Lepisosteus oculatus: one gene and its partner. The protein of the gene in region 1 purifies or fractionates together with the protein of each later gene. This does not show direct contact. Links are inferred from orthologs where the notes say so. Each region holds a gene or a part of one and is shown on either strand. Other genes may lie near its edges.

Region 1 (10,238 bases):
AAGGTCCTCAGTGGCACTGGCAGAATTAACCCAGTGGATTCTTCAGAATGAACAGTGAAATGCATTCTCCAGGTGTGCCTTCTTTTATCTCCCTCCAGTGCTCAGTATTAGCATTTGGATGCCTGAGGGTATAGGCCTCATCCCCGACATCGCCTGACCTCTCCCCGTTATCCCTGGATATGTACAGTATGTTCGTGTTTTCCCACTCACAAGGATTTGAACCTTGTGTCGTCTCAGGCTGGGTCTCCCGGTTTTGGACTCATGGATTGTGCCCTGACCCTCCTTCGGACCTGCTTGGATTTGGACGCCAGTCTTTGTTTCCCTGCTCACCATTTCACGAACTGTCACAGTTACTTTGTTGCACTATTAAACCACTGTGTGTTTTCCCCGAACTACAGTACGTCTCCCGCTTCCTTCAGCTCTTGCCGCTTCACAAGGAGTCTAAACACAACACCCGAGACGGACTACGGAGCCAATCTGTAACAAAGAGGTGTTTAGATCTGCTTCTCCGGTAATGTAACACCCAAAGGTACACATTTATGAAGTGAATCACCACACTTTCTCAGGCCATCTCATGATGAAAATGTTACTTAACATTAGTTTCACAGTATTCACAGCAACATAAATATTCCTAAATGGAAACTTCATCCCAACAATGCAGATTTTCCTGGAATGTTTAGATATTTAGTTGTATTTTGGGTTGTTGGGTCAAATATTGTGCATGCAATAATCCTAAATTCACCCAGGTGTGTTAATATTGAAAAGAAAAGATTATACTTGAACAACAGAGAAGCAAGTACATTTTTGTGAATTTAAATGATTCTGTTTAATTACCCATAATTTGTGTAAGGCAGGCAGAAGAAAACATATAAGTGAAGTTAAATGAACAGATGGAACTTTAAAAAATGTGTTAATCAGTGTGGTTTTGCAAAACATCCACATTGTCTACATTTAATCCACAGTACTATACTGTATTAAAGAGCTTCTAAATGAAAACATCAGATCAAAACTGGTTAATTCATTCACACATTTTTTATATTTTTTCAAAATGCTAAAATGTGTCATAGAAACAAAATAAAAATGGGTATTAGTACGTTTCAAATGAGGCAGTGTCAGAAATTCAGCAGATTTAAACAGTCTTGTAGCAGTATTTTATTCAATAAGGTCTGACTCTTAACTTTACTTCCAACCAGATACAATCTATTAACTGAGTCACAGCAAAGTTTTTTGCAATTTCCTTTTGCAAAACCATCTTAAATTAAATTAGGAAGATTTAAAAAAAAAAAGCAGTTTCTCATTTGCACCTTAACTGTTGCAAAGACTGTTGAGTGTTTCTGCTGCTTACACTGATCCACTAGCTTGGTGAGATGTGACAGGACAATTCATTTATGGTGCTCTACAGTATGTTAATCACAATGGCTGCCTGAATAAGTTGGTCTGCAAAATGTAAATGACCATTGTCTAAGAATTGATATACCAAATGACTCGAGACATGGAGGATTTAATTACATGCGGATCTTCTTCAAAAGTGTACTTCACAGACTGCACCAATTCTTTCTAGCTTCCCACTGAGTGATTGCATGGTTGGAGAGACAAGACCTACTGTATAATAACAGCTCCTCTGCTACAAAAAGCTTTCGACTAATTAACTCTAAACTTTATAGGTACAGTATAACACTAGTAACAGGATTTGTTTATGCAGGATGAACAAAGGAGAAAATAAAGTACAGTACCTGCATAAGTCAAGGTGGCTGCCAGACAATTGCTTCCGTTATTTAGTCCTGTATAAACAACATTACCTTGAAACTTAGACATTCAACACCAATTAAACAGTGACAAGGAAACAGCCAAAGACACAAACTGCTTCTGCACTCCAAGTGTTTGGTCCTTTCACTCTACAGTGTATGGTTTTAAACATTTGTGCCACCAGGATGAAATTTGGCAAAATAGGGAAATCGAGATGACTGTCTGGTTGCCAGTTCTTTTTCTGATTTATTTTTCTTTTCCTCCAAATTCCTGATTTCTTGGGAAGAGTAGGACATACAGTAACCTAGGTGCACAGAAGGAAAAGGCTCTATGGACAGCAACTCATAACCTCTAAGAAGGGGTAAACTACAGACCCGCACCAGGCTCGGGGTACCCTTCTTAGGAGGTCAGAAATATAACGGTGTGGTACTCCCTTCTGGGCCTTAAAAAACAAGAGTGATATCTTGGCATCTATATGAAATTCAACAGGAATGTCAAGACAGAGGGTTTGACAAAGTCAGACCCAGTCAGTACTCAGTCAGTTGCTGTGTTCTGAACCCACTGAATTTTGGCACTGACAGAACTTAATATAACTGAGCAACGTTACAAAGACAAAAGAAAGCCGTCCTGGTGATGCGTTGGATATTCTCTTCAGAAATTAAAGTAGGGTAAAAAAAATGTCACATATATGTCGTATTAACATATCAGTCACCATAAATTGCCATGCGTAGATCATAGTTGCTCAGTTTATCTCAGTTGATGCAGACCAATAGAAAACGGCCAAATGACAAATAATCATTAAGACACAATACAAAGTACCCAGTTGAAAATGATAAAGAAAGTTATCAAGGAGAGTAAAGTTATATGTATACATTATAGAAATAGAAATTTAAGAAGTCAATAGTGTTCAGTATTGTTATCAATGCTGGACAAAGAATATTGCTGCTCTAGAGATTAAAGAATAAACTTAGTCATTTCCTGTTTTAAAATGCATAACGCAGACAGATGGAAAATGAAATTAGTTTTCCCAACAGGGTAATTGTGCACCAGAAAACATCACTGTAAGATCCGGTTTGATTCCCTTGTAAGACATTTAACAAAACAGAATCAATTTCTACGAAAGAATAATATGTGCTACACAACTGTAATGTACTGCTGCCACACAGTGGCTGTTTTCTTCTGTATTTCATGTGCCAACAGATTTCTGTAATAAAGTCTGCGACTGTAAAACACTTGCAAAGATTAAACAAAACCTGTAGCTTGGATGAAAGGAGCAATGTACTCACACTAGTGAACCATTTGAGGAAAAGTGCCTTTTTTAAAATTAAGGTTCTAGGATAAGGATTTATATTGTAATATATAATTAGCTTATCGTATTTTGCACAGACTGAAAATGATACTGAACAGCTTAAACATTAAGATCATTACAATTAAATATCATTACAGTTCACATAACCCCGTGCAGAACATTGAACCTTTACAATAGAATGGAAAAAATGCCCACATACAGCCAACATTAAAGTACATAGCAAAGGATACGCCCCTGCGCATTACAGTGATGTTGGCCGCCCGGGCTAAAGAAAGTCTTCTTTAGCTCAGCCGGCAAGACCCGGGTTCCAGCCCATGTGAGGGCAGAAGCCCGAGAACCCGAATTCAATATTAAAAAAACGTTAATCTTAATACAGGTAAATAATATTAACAAAAACAAGAAAGGAAACTGGTCCCATGTTGGCTCCAATCGTCGTCTACACCCAACCTTGATGAGCACGAGTAATCGGAGCCAAAATGGCACAGGGAGGACTGCAGTTTCCACGTTGTAAACGGTGAACGCCACTGAATGACATCAACCACCTGTACGGGACTGATATAGATATTTAATACGAATACGGTATAAAAATGTTCACTCATTTCTTCATTTCACTGGAACCTAAACTGAAATACAGGTGATGTTAATGTCAGGCTGAGAAATATGCGCAGACGAGGTAGAAATTAGGGTAACAAAGGTTTCCCTTAACAGCCAGGGGTGCGGATCCTTCAGAGAAATGAGGACTTTTCCCCCTTAACCACAACCGTAGAGCAAACTGAGGTATTTGAAGCGGCATGTCTTTTTGCCTTAACTGAAACAGAGAAGTGCTTCGAACAAAAATGTGTTTGTCCTTATTGTGCCGCATTACAACAATTATGTATGTATCGTACTCCGCAGCTATATTATATATTTTTAACTAAATTACAGAGAATTCCTTTAAAGCTGCCCCCCAATCATATTATGCAAATAAACATGCCATTTATTGTTTAAAACCATACGACATTAACAAAGTAGCATAATAGAAGCACTATATATAACTGATCGGTTTCTCTCTTTTCTGTTTTCAAAGCGCTACGCAGGCGGGACAATCAACTCAAAACAACCAATCAGCAGTGACTCTTCCTACGCCAACCTGACGTCAAATATTTTCCTTTTAGCTGGCAAAATAATGCCTGAATGAAACAATGGTTGAATTTCAATTTTTAAAAAAAAATTTTTTTAGGAAGACACAGTATAATGAAAAAAATATATATCTCTAACTTAATACATTAAAGGAATCAAACCTGTAATACTACACCGCTTTTCAAATTATTTCAGGCGCATCGAACACCAAAGAGGACCAGCGCTGCCTGCCGCCAAAATTCAAGTTCGCTGAACACAGGAAGAGTAAGGGAACAGTGGCGTTTTGTTATTGTGTGAGGTATGTATTCACGTTTTGGGTAAAAATAAACGCAGTTTTGAAAGCGAATGTATAACAGCAACCGTTTATGCCTTTTTTCACCTCATCCCAGGTAATCGAGAGCTGAAACAAGGCTTCGGGAGGTGACACTAGAATACAACTTTCCTGTAGCTGCGGATGAAGTTCATCGGGGAGTTGAATTTGTAAAACGTTGAAACGAAGATGTACATCAAATCTATCATCTTAGAAGGCTTCAAATCCTACGCCCAGAGAACGGAGATCAATGGCTTTGACCCGTTGTTCAACGCTATCACCGGTCTGAACGGCAGTGGCAAGTCCAATATCCTGGACTCCATCTGTTTCCTGCTCGGGATTTCCAACCTGACTCAGGTAGCGCCGGGTGCCCGTACGCTTTGCACTAGCTTGTGAGCAGTGCTAGTTTTTACTGTGCGGTTCACTTTTTTTTTTCGGTGTGTTCCCCCCCACCCCGATGCAGTATGAATTCGTGTTTTATGCTAGTCCCTAGGCATGCGGGGGGAAACCGGGAGTACGTTATATATTATAAATGTCACCGAAAGATCATCCCTGGAAATCTCGTTTAGGTGCGAGCGTCCAATCTTCAGGATCTGGTCTACAAAAACGGTCAAGCTGGGATCACTAAGGCCTCTGTTTCCATTACGTTTGACAACTCTGACAAGAAGCAAAGTCCCCTTGGGTTTGAGACCCACGACGAAATCACTGTTACGCGTCAGGTATTTGTTTTTATCATTAGCCCGGACTGCAGTTCTGGTATGTTTCATTTTTTTTTCAGAATGCATTGCATTCGTTTAATAAATGAGATTTGTATTGAGTGCTTTTTCCCCCCCGTCTATTTTAAAGGTGGTCATTGGTGGGAGAAACAAATACCTCATAAATGGGGTAAATGCCAACAACAACCGGGTACAAGACTTGTTCTGCTCCGTTGGGCTCAATGTCAACAATCCTCATTTTCTGATTATGCAGGTGAGCATAATTGATAGCTATACCTGTACGTCCCTGTTATGAATCGTTTTGAATTTTATCTCAAGACCTGCTTTGAAGGATGAATTTTTAACGCGCAATTTCTTAACATGTGCGCGGAATTGCTTGTAAACGCATAGTTTGTGTTAAGGTATGTTTGTGTCGAGTAACTTGGGACCACTTTTGATTTTTTCAGGGCAGAATTACGAAAGTTTTGAACATGAAACCCCAGGAGGTAAGTCAGCTCTGCTGCTTTCTTATGCATCTCTTCCCTTCAGGGAATCAGAATGAGCTCCACCATCTTTTTTTTCCTCTGAGCAGAAATCTGCACGTTAAAATATTTCACAGGAGAGACCCATGAGAAAACAACCCACAAATATTTGTTATTGTACCTTAACATTTCTGGACAGAAGACAGTGTTGTTTATGAAAGTGTAACTAAATAAACATTTCAGTTAATCTAATGTACTGTAACCGGATAGCAGCATTTTATACTGATTTAGGTAGAGTTTTGCATTAATTGTTCTGTAGGTCTGTAGGAACTGAACTGATGTCAATGAGGAATTAAAGTATTTTTATGTTTGAAAACGCCATAAAAAATGGAAAAAAGGAAATAGCATTCTTGAACCCAGTTTATAACTTTTCAGAAAGTAACAAATCCCCAAGTGTGTATTTTATAAATGAATAGGAGACTGGAGGCGATAGTGTGTTATTGGTGTTCTATTTAGCTTGTCACATGATGCCCTCAAACTTGCCTTGGATTTTTTTCGTTTTTAAAACCCCTAAAATGACTAAATAAAAAATTAAGCGAGCCCCTTTTTGCTAATATCTTATCTGCTGAGACTTTTCCCTCCTGAGATAGTTATTCAACACATACAGTACAATATTGACAGGAAGTTGTAGTTTAATGATATCAAAAGTATATACCCAGAGGGCACAAAACTGGTTTTGCTAAACTAAACTGGGGATGAAGTAAAGACGATTGCCAATAAGATTATAAATAGAGATTGTGGCTATAAATGAACATTGAAAACATGGAATATGGTGTGATGTAGTACTGTAGTACCCCTAGTCTTTGGGATTGATGAGTATTCTTTATTTAGATCCTGGCAATGATTGAAGAAGCAGCAGGCACCAGGATGTATGAGATCAAAAAGATGGGTGCGCAGAAAACTATTGAAAAGAAGGAGGGCAAGCTAAAAGAGATCCAGACGGTACGGTATCATTGTCAGTGTGCAGAGCTTCATTTCATTCTGGCTGAATGGTAACAGTAATAACCACATATTTGTGTTTTTCGACAGGTGTTAAGAGAAGAGATCACACCAACTCTAGAGAAGCTGAAGGAGGTAAGTCCTACCAGGTTATGGGGTGGTCCAGAATTGTGTTTTTCCCATTGGTAGGTTGTAATCTGTAGCACTCCTGGTGGTTTGTTTATTTTTCTAGGTATTTCTTAAAACGCGGATCTTTTAAAAATGACAACAGTGAAAGAAGTTTGGAATCATTGATGAATCATTATGCCCATTTGTATATGTTTTCACAACAGGAAAAAAAGTGGCTGTTTTGAAAAAGACAAGTTAAGAGGTACATGGCCTGAGACCCACTTCTAAGCCTTTGTTTCGTAGGAACGATCATCGTACTTTGAGTATCAGAAGGTGTTGAAGGAAATGGAGCATCTTACTCGCCTGTATGTGGCCTATCAATTTGTGTGCGCCGAGGAAACCAAAGCCAAGTCGGCTGCAGAGCTGAAGGTGCTGGAGGATGGCACAGTCAAGCTGCGGGAGAAGATGGCAGACAATGAGAAGAAAGTGAAGGAGCTCTCTCAGGAAATTGCTCGGCTGGAGGACAAGAGAGACCAGGTGCTGTAGCTCACTCTTCGCTTTTTGATTGTTCGTTTTGGAGTATAAAGAGAGACTCATGGCTTTTAGGAGAGCAAAATCCTTATGGAAACTCGGGTTGTGTGGGCCAATGTTTTCTTTTATAAGTCCTTCCTGATAGGAAAATATTTTATGCGGTGCTTTGCAGGAAATAAGTTAAAAATTGCTCAGAACTGAAATATTGTATATACAGTAGGAGCTGAAGTGTGGGCAGCACTGTGGTTAGCTTCGGTGCCTCGCAGTGCTGAGGCCCTGGACTCAATTCCAGACCTGGGGTGCTATCTGCTTGGAGGTTGTTCTCCCTGCATTTATGTGGGTTTCTTCCAGATGCTCCGGTTTCCTCCCACTGTCCAAAGACATACTGGTAGGTTAACTGGTTTCTGTGGAAATTGGCCCTGGCGTGAGTCTGTTTCTGTGTTTGTCTGTGCCCCACAATGGACTGAGCTCCCATCCACATCCTGCCTTGCGCCGGTGGCTTGCCGGTATAGACCGTGGCGACCTCGCATTGGATAAAGCTGTTAGAAAATGGATGAATGGACGTTATATCGTTTCGCACAAATATGAGTCTCATTGGATACATGTGCACTTTGACGTCTCGGTCAGCTTCTGAAAGCGTTCCTTTCCTGTGAATGGTGCTGCGTCTAGGACGTGGGTGGCGTGCTGAAGTCCCTGCAGGACGCCCTGTCTGAGGTTCAGAGAGTGGATGCCAAAACCCAGAGTGCTTTGGATCTGAAGAAACAGAACCTTAAGGGGGAGGAGAAGAGACGCAAAGAACTGGTGAAAAGCATGGAAGAGGTAAAGCACAAAAAACAGGACACGCGGTCAAGCGTGGAAATCTGATTCCTTTGAGCCGAAAGATGTTCTTTTGAAACTGTCGTGTGCAGTCTGTAAACCGGCACTGCATGGTATGAGTCTACTTTTCAAGGATACATTTTTTTGTCAATATTAAGTCTCAACCTGAACCACTCGTTTATTAAAAAACCCATGTACCTTACTCAAGAAAACTTAAGTGGGAATGTCACTGGGTACTATAAGCTTTTGTAAAAAAAGGCCCCAGGACTTTGCTTTTGTAGCCTGTAATTCAGAAAAAAATGAGTTTGGCACACTAAATGAAAATCACAGTTCCGTATTTTTGGGTTGAATTGGAATACATTTATGATTTTTGCTTTTAAAATAAAGCATTTTCCTCTCGATTAGTAACTATCAACTTTTGATTTGAGGTTCGTGGTTCAAAATGAATAGTTCTATTTGTAGAGTGTTCCCAACTTAATCGGCTGTAGGTACAAACACCCTCTCAGTCATGTGGTATTTTCTATCAATGTCTGAATTAATTTCAAAGTCTACTTTAAAGAATGACATGATCACTCAACCATGTAGATGATTGCCAGTATTCCTCAGTGATATCTGTCTCTTCTGCAGTATGTGGAGACCTTTTACATTTGAAATAGTTTACCATCAAGATTTTCTGCGGTTTTCAGAAATTGATAACGCACTCATTAGGCCAGTTATAATATCAGTGGTCTGTTTTTCGACTAGTCCTCAATCGAAACTCAAATTACGTTTCACTTTGACCACAGGGAAGAAAATCTCCCTGTGAGTTAGAATCCAGAGGTCTCGAACCAAGTCCGTTGTTACTTTCTGTCCCTTAAGCACATAAAAAAAATAATAAATTGGCAGGACCTAACTGTTCCCAGCTTTCCTCACCCTCAGGATCAAAAGGTCTTGGCGGCAAAGGAGAGCGAGGCGAAGAAGATCACCGAGAAGCTCCGTGCCATCCAGGAGGAGGGCCGGAAGGACGCGGAGGCCCTCGCCGCCGCCCAGCAGCACTTCAACGCCGTGTCCGCCGGCCTGTCCGGCAGCGAGGACGGGGCGGCGGCCACGCTGGCGGGGCAGATGATGACCTGCAAAAACGACATGAGCAAAGCCGACACCGAGGCCAAACAGGTACCACTGTCATCGCTCCGGGGGCTGGGGGGTTGGATCAGGAGTGTCCGGTAAGTTGAACGCATAGGCTAAAGCAGGCAACTCCCCATTTATTATTGCTGCCCATTTCTTCATATTTCAGTTGTGACGTTGTACGCTAAGACACTATCTAGCAGTAATACATGTGAACATATTGTAATTTAGTATCAAATCAACGGAATGCTTTCCAGGTGTGAAGATAAACAACCATTGTTTTATGTGAATGTAGAAGGTTTTTGACGCTGTGTTTTTATGGCATTCTTATTTTTGTTGACTAAAGGCACAGATGAAGCTTAAACATGCCCAGCAAGAGCTGAAGACTAAACAAGCAGAAGCTAAAAAGATGGATAGCGGATATAAAAAGGACCAGGATGCTTTTGAGGCTGTGAAGAAAAACAAAGAAAAACTGGAAGCTGAGTTGAAGAAGCTGAACTATGAAGGTTGGGGAAAAATGGGTGGGAGGGGTGGGGTTTGGACTGACACTTTCCGAGTTTGATAATGCTTTTATTAAATCGTTGGTCATTTGGTGAAATGGCTGTTGTCTTTTTTTTTTTTAGATGGAAAGGAGGAGAAAGTGATAGAAAAGAAGAGGCAGCTGTCTCGCGAGGTTAATCAGCTGAGGGAGACCTATGAATCACTGATGGCCAAGTTTCCCAATCTAAGATTTGAATACACGTGAGTTGTTTTGTTTCCGCCATCCCAAATATAACATCCTGGCTGCGCAGCGTTTGGAAGATACGATGAGTTCCTTTTGTGTGGGCCTGGCCATTCCTCGGGAACCCGCCACATTCTGAGTGAGACGTTTTCCGCTACTTCTTATCTTCATTGCTGGATTTGGGTCTGTCTTCATCAAAACCTTTAGTTGAGGTCACCCTTAGGCAGTTTAAATGTCAGACAACTTTGGTTTTCAACAGTAATCGCTCTTGGCACAGTTGTAGATGCTTTGTGGTTTC
Region 2 (10,238 bases), on another chromosome or scaffold:
TTTGCCAAACCCTCATTGTAATTGTGTAATTCTGCTGTTTCATTTCATTATGTGCTTTTTTCTTACTGAAAAGCACTTTGAGAAGCCACTTTTAAAGAATACAGAGTGCCATTAAGGTGATGGTGAGTGCTCCATCTGCATAGTGTACAGTATATAGTGCAACACAGTGTAAGAATTACTGAAAGATGTAGTTGAGAGCTGAGAGGTCAGCTGCGTCTAGCTCTAAAGCTTAGTCTTTTGCAAAAACCCAAAAAGTGTTCAATGACTGAGCAGTTCCCATTTCTCTGTGTAACTCCTTCCACCACTGAGGAGGGAGGTAGGAGAAAAACAGTGGGAAACAACAAGGGGTTACAGAAGATGTTAGAGACACAGTATGTGGGGGAGCATAATGGTTAGGTTTTGGATCCGTGCAGCAATAGGTGGCCAATGGAGAGACTAGAAAAATGGAGCCATACAAAAAGCTGGTATTTACAGTAGGCATGAAAACAGGGCAATCACATTATTCAGGTGAGGTGCTTTAGTGTCTTTCAGGACTTTGTAATTCAAGATACCAGGAAATGGATCACAGATGATTCTGCTAAAGTGTGCACTAGGGAGATTCTGTATGATTTTTGATGTATGATGTTTCACAGATTCATTCAGTTGGGCTCCTAAAATAACGGAAGTGACACGGCTGTTTCAAGAATATTATGGCAATAGCAAAAGAACTAATCCAGGGATTAACAGATGTGTCTGAGAATAGGTGGAAAAGCCCTAGGATGGAAAATGGGTCAAAACAGATCTAGATTTTTTTTTAGTCCCAAAAATCCGTTGCGAAAATAAGTGCTTCATTCTGCTTTACTTTTAGTCCTGAAAGTCAATACAAAACTATATTCTTTTAAGTCAAAGATTTTAGAGAAACTCTTCTCCACGCAAATCGTGTAACATTAAGTTACTTTTTTATGGAACTGTTATGGAATTGTGGCATTCTTTTAGTAAAGAGGGACTAAAATATCTGAATTCTGAAAATGGGAAGCAAGATAAAAAATATATCCATTATACTGCATATGAATTGAAGATACAGTATTTTAAAGACAGAAAACATCTCAAAGCCTGTAAAATCAGTGTAAATCACTAAGGTCACAAAGAAAAATTTCCCCACAAATAATTTGAAAGCTGAGACATTGCTTTTTTCCCAAACATTTCTAAAGTACATTAAGTGTACTAAAATAATGACTTAATAGGAAAAGCTCTAGCTGCTGTGTTGAGTCAGACTAATACACAATTTTCAAAGGCATGTCTGTGTGATTACACTGACATCTAGTGGATAAAATTGTCAACCCGTTTTACCTTCTGGACAGATTGTCCTACTTCATTTTCCTTTGAAGTTAGTTCTGCAAAATTACCCTAGTTCAGGTGCAAGCACTGCTGGGCATTTGCAGGAATCCTTAAAACACTTAAGTATATCGTACAAGATTCTGATATATTTATTTGTTTTGGCTGTCTATCTCCATATGTACACATTTGTCTGTGTATTGCGAGAATGTTTAATAGTAAGAAATCTCTCGGGATACACTATAAATACATTTGTGACTCTGATCTGTGATACAGAGGCATTATGGAAATTATCAACCTTTTTTTTAAATGTTAATAAAAACATGTACTGATTTATTGTAATGACATACAGTGCATAACTTCTCTTCTGTACATGTACTGTATCATACTTTCACTATCACACTTCATTGACGTATCTGCGTATTAATAGTTCACATGACTTTAGGCAGATTCATAAAGTATGCTGGATGCCCAGAATAAAATGAAATGAGATTGGATTAGATGGTCATCAGCCCATGGGCAGAAACGTGCAGATTCCACACAGAAGGTGTTCAAGCTGGACCCAAGAGCTCTGAGGCAGCAATGCACTACTCATCCCCATTTCACTTCCACCTGAACACAAGGAAGAAATTAATTTGATCATTACCCATTACTCTGCAGTTGTACTCTGCCTTGCACCCATAGGCTCTGGCTCCCCTATGACCCAGAATTGGAAGACTCAGTAAGAAAATGGATGGATGGATATTACCAATCTCTTTTAGAGGTGTACATGGCCAAGGAGTCCGATTGAGGATGGATTTCGTTGGGCCTCTAAGTTTTGGTAGCCTAACTCTACCTAATTTAAGCACAAATATTGTGCTTTTCAGATGTAGGTGTTTAGGGCATGGTCTCTGTTGTGGTGCAGCCATTTCAGCTGACTGCATTGCTGTGCTGCTGACTTTTTTTTACTCGAAATAATCCCCCAGATGTTTAATGGAGGTTGATTTGCATGCCACACCGAAGAGACTCGTTTGCCTATTCACTCCGCAGAGACAGTTCATGCCAGCGGTGTAGCAGATAGCCTTATCTGCTAGTTAGCATGGACACATTTATCTCTGCAAAAGGCATTACAACATGGGAACAGAAAAAGAAATGCTTTCCTTTTTTTTGTCCCAATGGACGCCACAGGGTGTCCATGAACATGAACAAGTTGTTTGTGGATGACATGACCTTATATCACAGTGACTCCTTCCATGTGACATCCACCTACTGTATAGCCACAGAAGTACTGTCTCCCTTGTTGAACAATAGTGCTAATTAAACTGTATGTCTTTTATCAGTCTTTTGGGGTTATTTTGAACACTAAGTCCTTCTAACAAAAGCAGATTTATGGAGGATAAACTGAATTCAGCGAGGAGCTGTCGATATTAACTTCATGCGCCATGGCATGATGTAGAGTCACCTGTGAAATATATAGAAGCTGCACCATGAAATTGTTCATGTACTCCATGGAGATGCAACATTTTAAATCATGCAAATGAGACACCAACCAAACTATTTATGCATTGCACTCCGAAGTACGATTTTACCAGAAATCACATTCGCTTCCAAATGCTCTTGTTAATACATTGTAATGTGAATGTCTGCATAGTTTTATAACATTAGTGCCATATTCGGAGCAAATGTAGGGTTTATAATTGCCTTTGAATTTCTGGATTCACTAGAAATTCAAAATTGTGCTCCAAACCTATCAAAAATATGTTTTAATGTATTTTTTTAACGAGGTTAAAATTTAAATTAACTAATGACTGTATTGTATTAAATATAATGTATCTTTGTTGTCGGGAAAATGACAAAATATTAAAATTTTGACCCTATACGTTGCATACATGTGAGAGCAAAAACTGTATTTGCCTCCAAAAGCTCCCGAGCACCAGCTTGCAGCGAGTGGAAAAGTAAAAGTGGGTATTCCTCACTTCACAGTCCTACCAACAGAGCTGAAGTCCTACTCCGACACAAGAGGACCCCTATCTCTCCAACTCCAGGATGCGCTTGCGTGTGGACGTGCGCGCTCTCGAGAACGCACGCGAGGGCGCGCACGGCCGAGGTACCCGCGGAAGTTGAAGAAGTCAATTCAATTTTGCGCGGCAATTGTAAACTGTTTAGGGTAGTGGGACGAGAAAAGCAAAAGTATCTGGAAAGAATTGTTGCTGGTAAGTAGCTCCTTTCTTTTAATTTTGTGAGCCGTTTGACGATTAAATAAATGATTTGTGCTGTTCCGCTCATTGTTATTTTTTTATATTTATTTTTTTAAGTGTGATTTGTTATCCAAAGGATCATACAACGTTACGCTGATTTCTCCACCATAATATGATTTCCACATCACGTTCATGACTGAACATGTTTTGCTATGATAATGGGTTTGTATTATTTTAGTTAATCGAGTGCTGTGAACTATGTAAAATGCTGTTATCTAGATAAAGTGGTGGGTTTGTCCAGAAGGACAAACAGCACTAGAAACGGAAGGTTTCTATTTACTTCTGTTTCCGAACTTATGTACAGCGCTACTGCAAATATCAGTCCTCATTAGCTGCTTTGCAGTATAGCAGTGCTTGTTCAAAAATGTTTTGACAACAGATATATCAAACCTCAGCTTACACTGGATGAAGTCCCAAAATACAGAGAGAACAAGCAATTTTTTAAACTGTAAACATGATAATCACCCTTTGCACGTAAATCAGCAGCGTATTTCTGTGAAATATAGTCACTCTTGAAAGCACCTGAGATTGTAGTACATTGTCGACTGTCATACGGTGTCACTGAAATAGAAATAGACCTCTCTAAATTGAGGGGAATTAGGACACCTAAGAAATGTGCTGCCACCTAAAAACTGACGTTACATTTAAAACAGAACTGGCCTTGTGGGATGCTTTAATGCATTTTTTCAATTGTAGTACTAGTGACATAACTGTAGTTATTCCGATCAAAGCTGCATTTTCCAGTGGATGCCATATATTGAATGAAGTGCAAATGTAATCAAAGTCATATAATAATTAATAAGCCCTATTATGCTTAATAGGATAATTATTCTTAATAACATGGTATTATTTAAACAAACTTACAGTATATTGTAACCTGGGTGTTGTTGAACCATTAAGATGGACAGACTTCTACTGTATCATAATGCCCTGGTTTGTTATGGTTAGCATTAGCTTGCTGCTTGAATTGCATCTCTAATAACATGTTGTTCTCATTATTCAGAATGCATTAAAACGGGATTTAATGCTAATTTAACCATACTTTAACATTTAATGCAGATGAATATTGGTGGTGATAAAGTTTATATTATGTCCAAAATAGCTTAGATGTGTACATTTACATTTTGCAATCATTTTTACGGATTTAATAGTCGATTTGCAGAGTTCTATGTTGGAAAATTAAAATAGGTATATTATAAATGTCATTTTTCATGTTTTTCTCAGCTTGGATTTATTGGACCATGTATTTTGTTTCTATTGTGACACAACTTGTGTTTATTTTTCACTGTTTTGCAGCAAAGCACTTGGGGTGCTGGCATCTAAATATGACAAAACGAGAGGAATTTTTAAATTCAGTCAGCAAAGAGAATGTGGAGGAGTTCTTGAAATTCCTAAAACTCCATGTAAGTATTTCAGGCTTTTAATTCAATGAGAGACGCTGGAATTATGTAGATTTGGAAACTGAAATTCCTTTTGTAGCCACACAGCAGGTTGTCTACAGTCTGATTGAGGGTGAAATAGTGGATTGTTGTTTGTCAGACCAGTGGTTTTTGCTCTTGATCTTGTGGAAACAGCATGCCTCCTGGGTTCATCTCCAGCTAAGTTCTTAATTGCAGGCTAGTTGATATTTTTTTTTCTTTAATTTAACCATCTAGATTTAGGATGAATCGTGGGAGTCTCTGATACTGTACGTTGTCATTCCTGCCTGTGCTGTTCATTAGAGAAGGTTTGCCTATTAAGAGCTTTTTAGAGGAAAGATAGCAAATTCTTCATTAGCAGTTTGAGGAGAGTGCATAAAGGTCAGTATGCTGATGTCGATGGAATAATGTGCTATATACTTTAGCTACTTTTTGAAACCAAGGGTTGAGTGCAGAAAAAAGTCTAAACAGGCAAGAAGATCAATTACAACCACTAGTTAATATTTGTGGTTAAGGGCTTAGTTGGGATGTAAACAATAAGAGGCAGGAGTCTCTCAAGAGCAGGACTAAGAATCACTGATCTAGACAGAACAAACTTTTGCATGTCACGGGTCCAAATTTCTAATTACCTGGATGAAATGCACTCCAGAGCATTGTCCAATCCTGGGTTTCTCATCCCTGGTCCAGGGCTAACTCTGTATCTATTAATGTTATTTCATTAGAGTTCCTTCTTATTTAGGTCAACTCGTAAGGTAAATTTGCTGATGTTTTGATTTTTCCACTTCTTAAATTTAACTTTTGCACTGTACTGTATGTGAACGTTTTCAACTCTTGTAAATTTGATCTTCTTTGAAAAACAAGAAGGACAATTTAAGGAATTTATTGGTATACTTTTCAATCAAGTCAGAGCTGAGTCTGATTGGGGAAAATAGCCTTTCATAAATCCCACAATATATCATATACAGCTATTTAAGAACCAGAGTTGATAGTTCTTGAATTAATAGACTATTTAGTTTTCCCCCAAACTGGAAATATGAATGCTTTGTACATGTAAAGTGTATTACTCAATACGTGCTGTCCTGTTTAATGTAAACTACAGAAAAAAATAAAAGTAACATATAACAATCCACAATATCTTTGCTATGCTCTGTTTCTTGAAGATGTGAAACTAGAATATTCCTCCCTGGCTCCTCCTAAAAGCCTAATCCTTCTTTCCAGTGTCACTGTATACAGGTACTGTAGCTTCCCTGACAATTGGGTAAGCACAGTCCATGTAATGAAATCTACAGTATGAAGCTGCATAGCACTGTGGGCAGCCTATTCAGCAGAGCAGCCAACATGTCTGGCTGCAAAATATATTAACATATATTAAGCAATTTATGTGATAGAATATGGCAACCTGGAAAAAAGGAAGGAAAGCAAAGCACTTTTATCCCAGTGCTCACTGTTAACCATTCCGTACGTCTGATGTCTGCTTGCCTGCCGTGTTCATCTTTGTAACATCAAAATCGACCTATATGGCTGAATATTCCTAATAAATTCTTCAACCTCTTAATGAACCGACATAATACCTACTGCTAATGACGTTTAAATTGAATGAAAATGTAAGTGGGCAAAAGTATTTTCTGTTGTTCTTTGCCATTACTTCTTTGACTTTTACATGAATACAAAAGTTGAAAGGGACTGTAAAACTGGAGAAGATCTTCATAAGATTTTTTTGGTATGTGATTTACTCCCCTTGATTTACTTGATTGGAAAGTGTAATGATCTGCATGATCTTAGCCACCTGGTTCTCTGGGTTAAATGTTTTCAAGGTCTCCATAATAACTCTACATTTGTTACTTTCTATTCTTTTTGTTGAAAAGCCAGGCTCTTCCAGGTCAAACATTTCCGGTTTCTTTCTTGTACCCTGGGCAGTTTTTGTAAAACAATATGGAGAGGAGTAGCTTAATTATCAAATGCAATTCTCTAAAATCTCTTGAGATTTAAGGTTTGGTCTTAGGGGCTGTATATTGAAAACAGCCGTCTAATATTTCTTCTTGTATCCTGGTTTCCCTTTGTGATACTACAGTATATGAGTTTATTGGGATGCACCCTTAAACCCGTATTTTACTCGTTTCTTCTTACAGAAGGACAGTTCGGACCCCTTCGATCTGCCGGAGCTCATCCAGGAGCTCCCTACAAAGCAGAAGGAGCTGCTGTGGGGGAAGCTGCAAGCGCTCTTAACCGAGTCACTGTTGGACTTCCCCGTGGAGCAGTGGAACCAGGGACTGGACGATGACAGTGGGGATGAGATGGAAGTGGAACTTCCGCCGGCCTTAGTAAGTATAGAAGAAGATAATGAGGGTTTTGCTTTCCCCCTCCTGCATTTATTGGGGTTGATTTCACAGTATACCCTCCCTTTAAAATGCAGTTGCCACTCTCTCTGTCTTCACTAGATCCCAGTGTTGCCCTCTGAATATATAGATGCTTGCACAGACATTTCTGTTCTGTTGGAAAGTGTATAGTCAGATGCATTAATCAACTAATGTCAAAAATAAATGCCTAACCAAACATACATAATGAACGTCATGACTAAAATGCAAGTTGGACGTGATCATGGATGAGTAATTAGTGCCGCTCTGCCGGAATAATTGATAAAGCAAGGTGGTCGTGATGTTAAGTGCAAAACAGCTTGTCTTATTTCATAATTAACAGTTTTGTTTTGTGTTTTTTTTTTAACCGGGGAAACAAAATTTAGCTAGGGTGTGTTTAAAGGGGTGTCACATGATGAGAAATGAACACCAAAATGACAAAACGTGAGGTGTTCTCAATAGTCCACCTCTTTGACCCAATCAGCATTTCATTATCTTCATGGTTTTTACAGGACGTGGTGTATACAGCTATGGTGTATACATGTATACAAGTCTATACATATGTGGGTGTTACTGTATATTGCCAGTGTACAGAAAGATTACATGGTATTAAAAATGCTTTAACATAGACAGAAGGTGTGCCTAAGATTTGTGCTGATGTGAAAATAAGGCGCCTCGTTCAAAAATGAAAGAGGCATTTTTGTATCATAGAAAACAGTTTGTATTGCAGGCCCCTCAAGAAAAGGTGTAGTCAAGTGAGAACATCAAAATCATAAATGATCCGTAACACTTCCAGCATCACCTGTCAGATCACCCCATTAAAAAAACTGCTGCTTCTTTTTTGTCCATCCTTTTCTTAAAGAATTTGAAATGTCTGCTTGCTTCAGTTTTTCCCCTTCTTTACTTAGAAACAGACCATGGCCATAATCGAGGCTGTGACAGCTGTTGCTACTGCCTCAATAACTGTAATGCAAGATGATGATGCTTATGATGCTCTGCTTGGGTGTGCCCATATGTTAAATGGTAAGTGAGTCTGGATTATTCACTGTAAACGTAGTTTAGAATAAACCCTTAACATCTTAAAATTTAGGGAACTACAGTCTTTTGTCCTGATGTAGCAGGAAACAGTATATTTCATATCCCTAGATTAGCCTGTGAAAGATTTTCTCAAATTAAGGTAATAGTCCAAAATGTCCAACTCTTGGTTGTTGGCGTTAGTATCATCAATGTCATGTTTTATCAACCATGCCAGGGGAGTCTTCATTGATTCCCTGTAGTATATTTTATTTCTCACTTTAATTGGGAATTTTACCACGACCTTTAGTCTATTTTTCAGGTGATGGAAGAGGGGGGTAGGAATATAAATAAGGAGTGCTCAGTTTTTTTTGTTGTGACTTTTTGTCAGCGATTCTGAGTGCTGTGCCGCCCTCGGAAATGGTGGTACAAGCTTCAGTTCAGCGCTTCTGTGAGCAGTGGTGGGAGAAAGGACTGGAAGGAAAGGACGAGCTGGGAAAAAGCGCTTTTCTAGGGCTTTTGGAGAGAAGTCTTTCACTAAAGAACCCGGTAATGTACACAAGAATGGGTTTTTATTCGGTTTCATAGGCTGACACAAACACTTTATTCTTTCATGTGCTGTATACACTTATTTTGCAAATAGTGTTACAGTTTTAAGTAATAGGTGTTCATTTAATCTTTGAACATTCAGTTCAATCTCAAACTAAACTCATTTTGTATAGATACTGTACCTACCTCAGTGATATAGTGTGCAATGTAGTAAATTGCATTCTTGGATTGGTTTCCTGTTTTAGAGTTTAGCCGAGCACAACTCTGAATATATTGCAGCCTATTAGGAAGTTGAATTCCCTTTGTAACGCATAGGTTACTATTCATTATAGGAGATGGTAAACTATACATGCCTACACATACGCACACAAGAGTATAAGAACATGTTTTTTTCTTGAAAGTCAATATTAATTTTTCTAGCTGTAAAAAAGATTAATTTTTAGGTGATTTTATTATTGATGAAAACATTGTCTAATATTTTGTGACAATAAAAACATAAGTTTAATGCAAGACTTTACTAACATCCTGTGAAACTGAGATCTGAGCGTTTATTTGAAGGGAATAAATGATTAATATAATACTTCTTTGCTACTGGGGATTTTGTTCTGACGCTTCATATTCTTTTGCATTCGAAGGCCACATATTTGCAGCGCTTATGGAATCTCCACGAAGTGCTTCTGACCTTTAGCTTTGACTCAGAAGACAGTAAAGGTTTAAGTGACCTGCTGCTGCAGTGTTTTCTCAGTGTGAACCACATTAAACGGGAAGAGGTAGATATGCAAAGACATTTTCTCTTTCTAAGTCCAATTCTGAGTCTCAACATTTCTCGCTGAGCGTTGACAGCCACTGTTTTCTTTTCTTTTCTGTCTTTGTTAACAGGGAAGAAGGTTTCTGATTTACGTTTTTAGCTGGAATGTGAATTTTGTAAAGATGATTCATGGAACAATCAAAAATCAACTTCAGTTCTTCCCTAAGTAAGTGTATCACCAGTAATTAGAATTACACTGCCTATAAATAATTTTCCAATTGATGAGACCGTTATATACTGTATACAGTAATTCATCTTTGGCATAATAATTACACACAGTTATACAGTACTTTACCACGGTATGAGAAAAAGTGATTTTCCATTTGTCTCATTTAGTTGTGTTTCATTGTCTGAAAATGTTTTACAAAATGTTCTAAATGTGGTCATTGTACAATGTCAGTAATTAAAATATTATTTATTTACCTAATTTCATTAAAAAAAGCCCAATACACTATACATATGGAAAAGAAACAATTTCCTCCACCACTGGAGTGCAGCATCTCCTAGTGCTTTGTACAGTTTTACCATAAAATACCTTGATTAA

Evidence for each region. Proteins that work in one complex are often made in the same cells at the same time.
Region 2: the proteins of smc2 (region 1) and ncapg2 purify together in Homo sapiens (affinity purification with western blotting; 4 studies listed by BioGRID and IntAct, with this or other methods). This does not show direct contact. The link is inferred for Lepisosteus oculatus from reciprocal best matches to the Homo sapiens genes SMC2 and NCAPG2.

The regions. Positions count from the first base shown.
Region 1 is NC_090696.1:71,819,373-71,829,610, reverse strand, and holds the start of smc2 (structural maintenance of chromosomes protein 2), read left to right. Parts: upstream 1-4,332; 5' UTR 4,333-4,472; intron 4,473-4,563; 5' UTR 4,564-4,673; coding exon 4,674-4,841; intron 4,842-5,053; coding exon 5,054-5,203; intron 5,204-5,330; coding exon 5,331-5,453; intron 5,454-5,646; coding exon 5,647-5,685; intron 5,686-6,552; coding exon 6,553-6,663; intron 6,664-6,750; coding exon 6,751-6,795; intron 6,796-7,071; coding exon 7,072-7,305; intron 7,306-7,968; coding exon 7,969-8,118; intron 8,119-9,033; coding exon 9,034-9,267; intron 9,268-9,565; coding exon 9,566-9,725; intron 9,726-9,842; coding exon 9,843-9,960; intron 9,961-10,238. UniProt on the Homo sapiens protein: Central component of the condensin complex, a complex required for conversion of interphase chromatin into mitotic-like condense chromosomes.
Region 2 is NC_090701.1:12,796,717-12,806,954, reverse strand, and holds the start of ncapg2 (condensin-2 complex subunit G2), read left to right. Parts: upstream 1-3,401; 5' UTR 3,402-3,506; intron 3,507-4,847; 5' UTR 4,848-4,876; coding exon 4,877-4,954; intron 4,955-7,098; coding exon 7,099-7,290; intron 7,291-8,231; coding exon 8,232-8,346; intron 8,347-8,728; coding exon 8,729-8,886; intron 8,887-9,521; coding exon 9,522-9,656; intron 9,657-9,765; coding exon 9,766-9,860; intron 9,861-10,238. UniProt on the Homo sapiens protein: Regulatory subunit of the condensin-2 complex, a complex which establishes mitotic chromosome architecture and is involved in physical rigidity of the chromatid axis.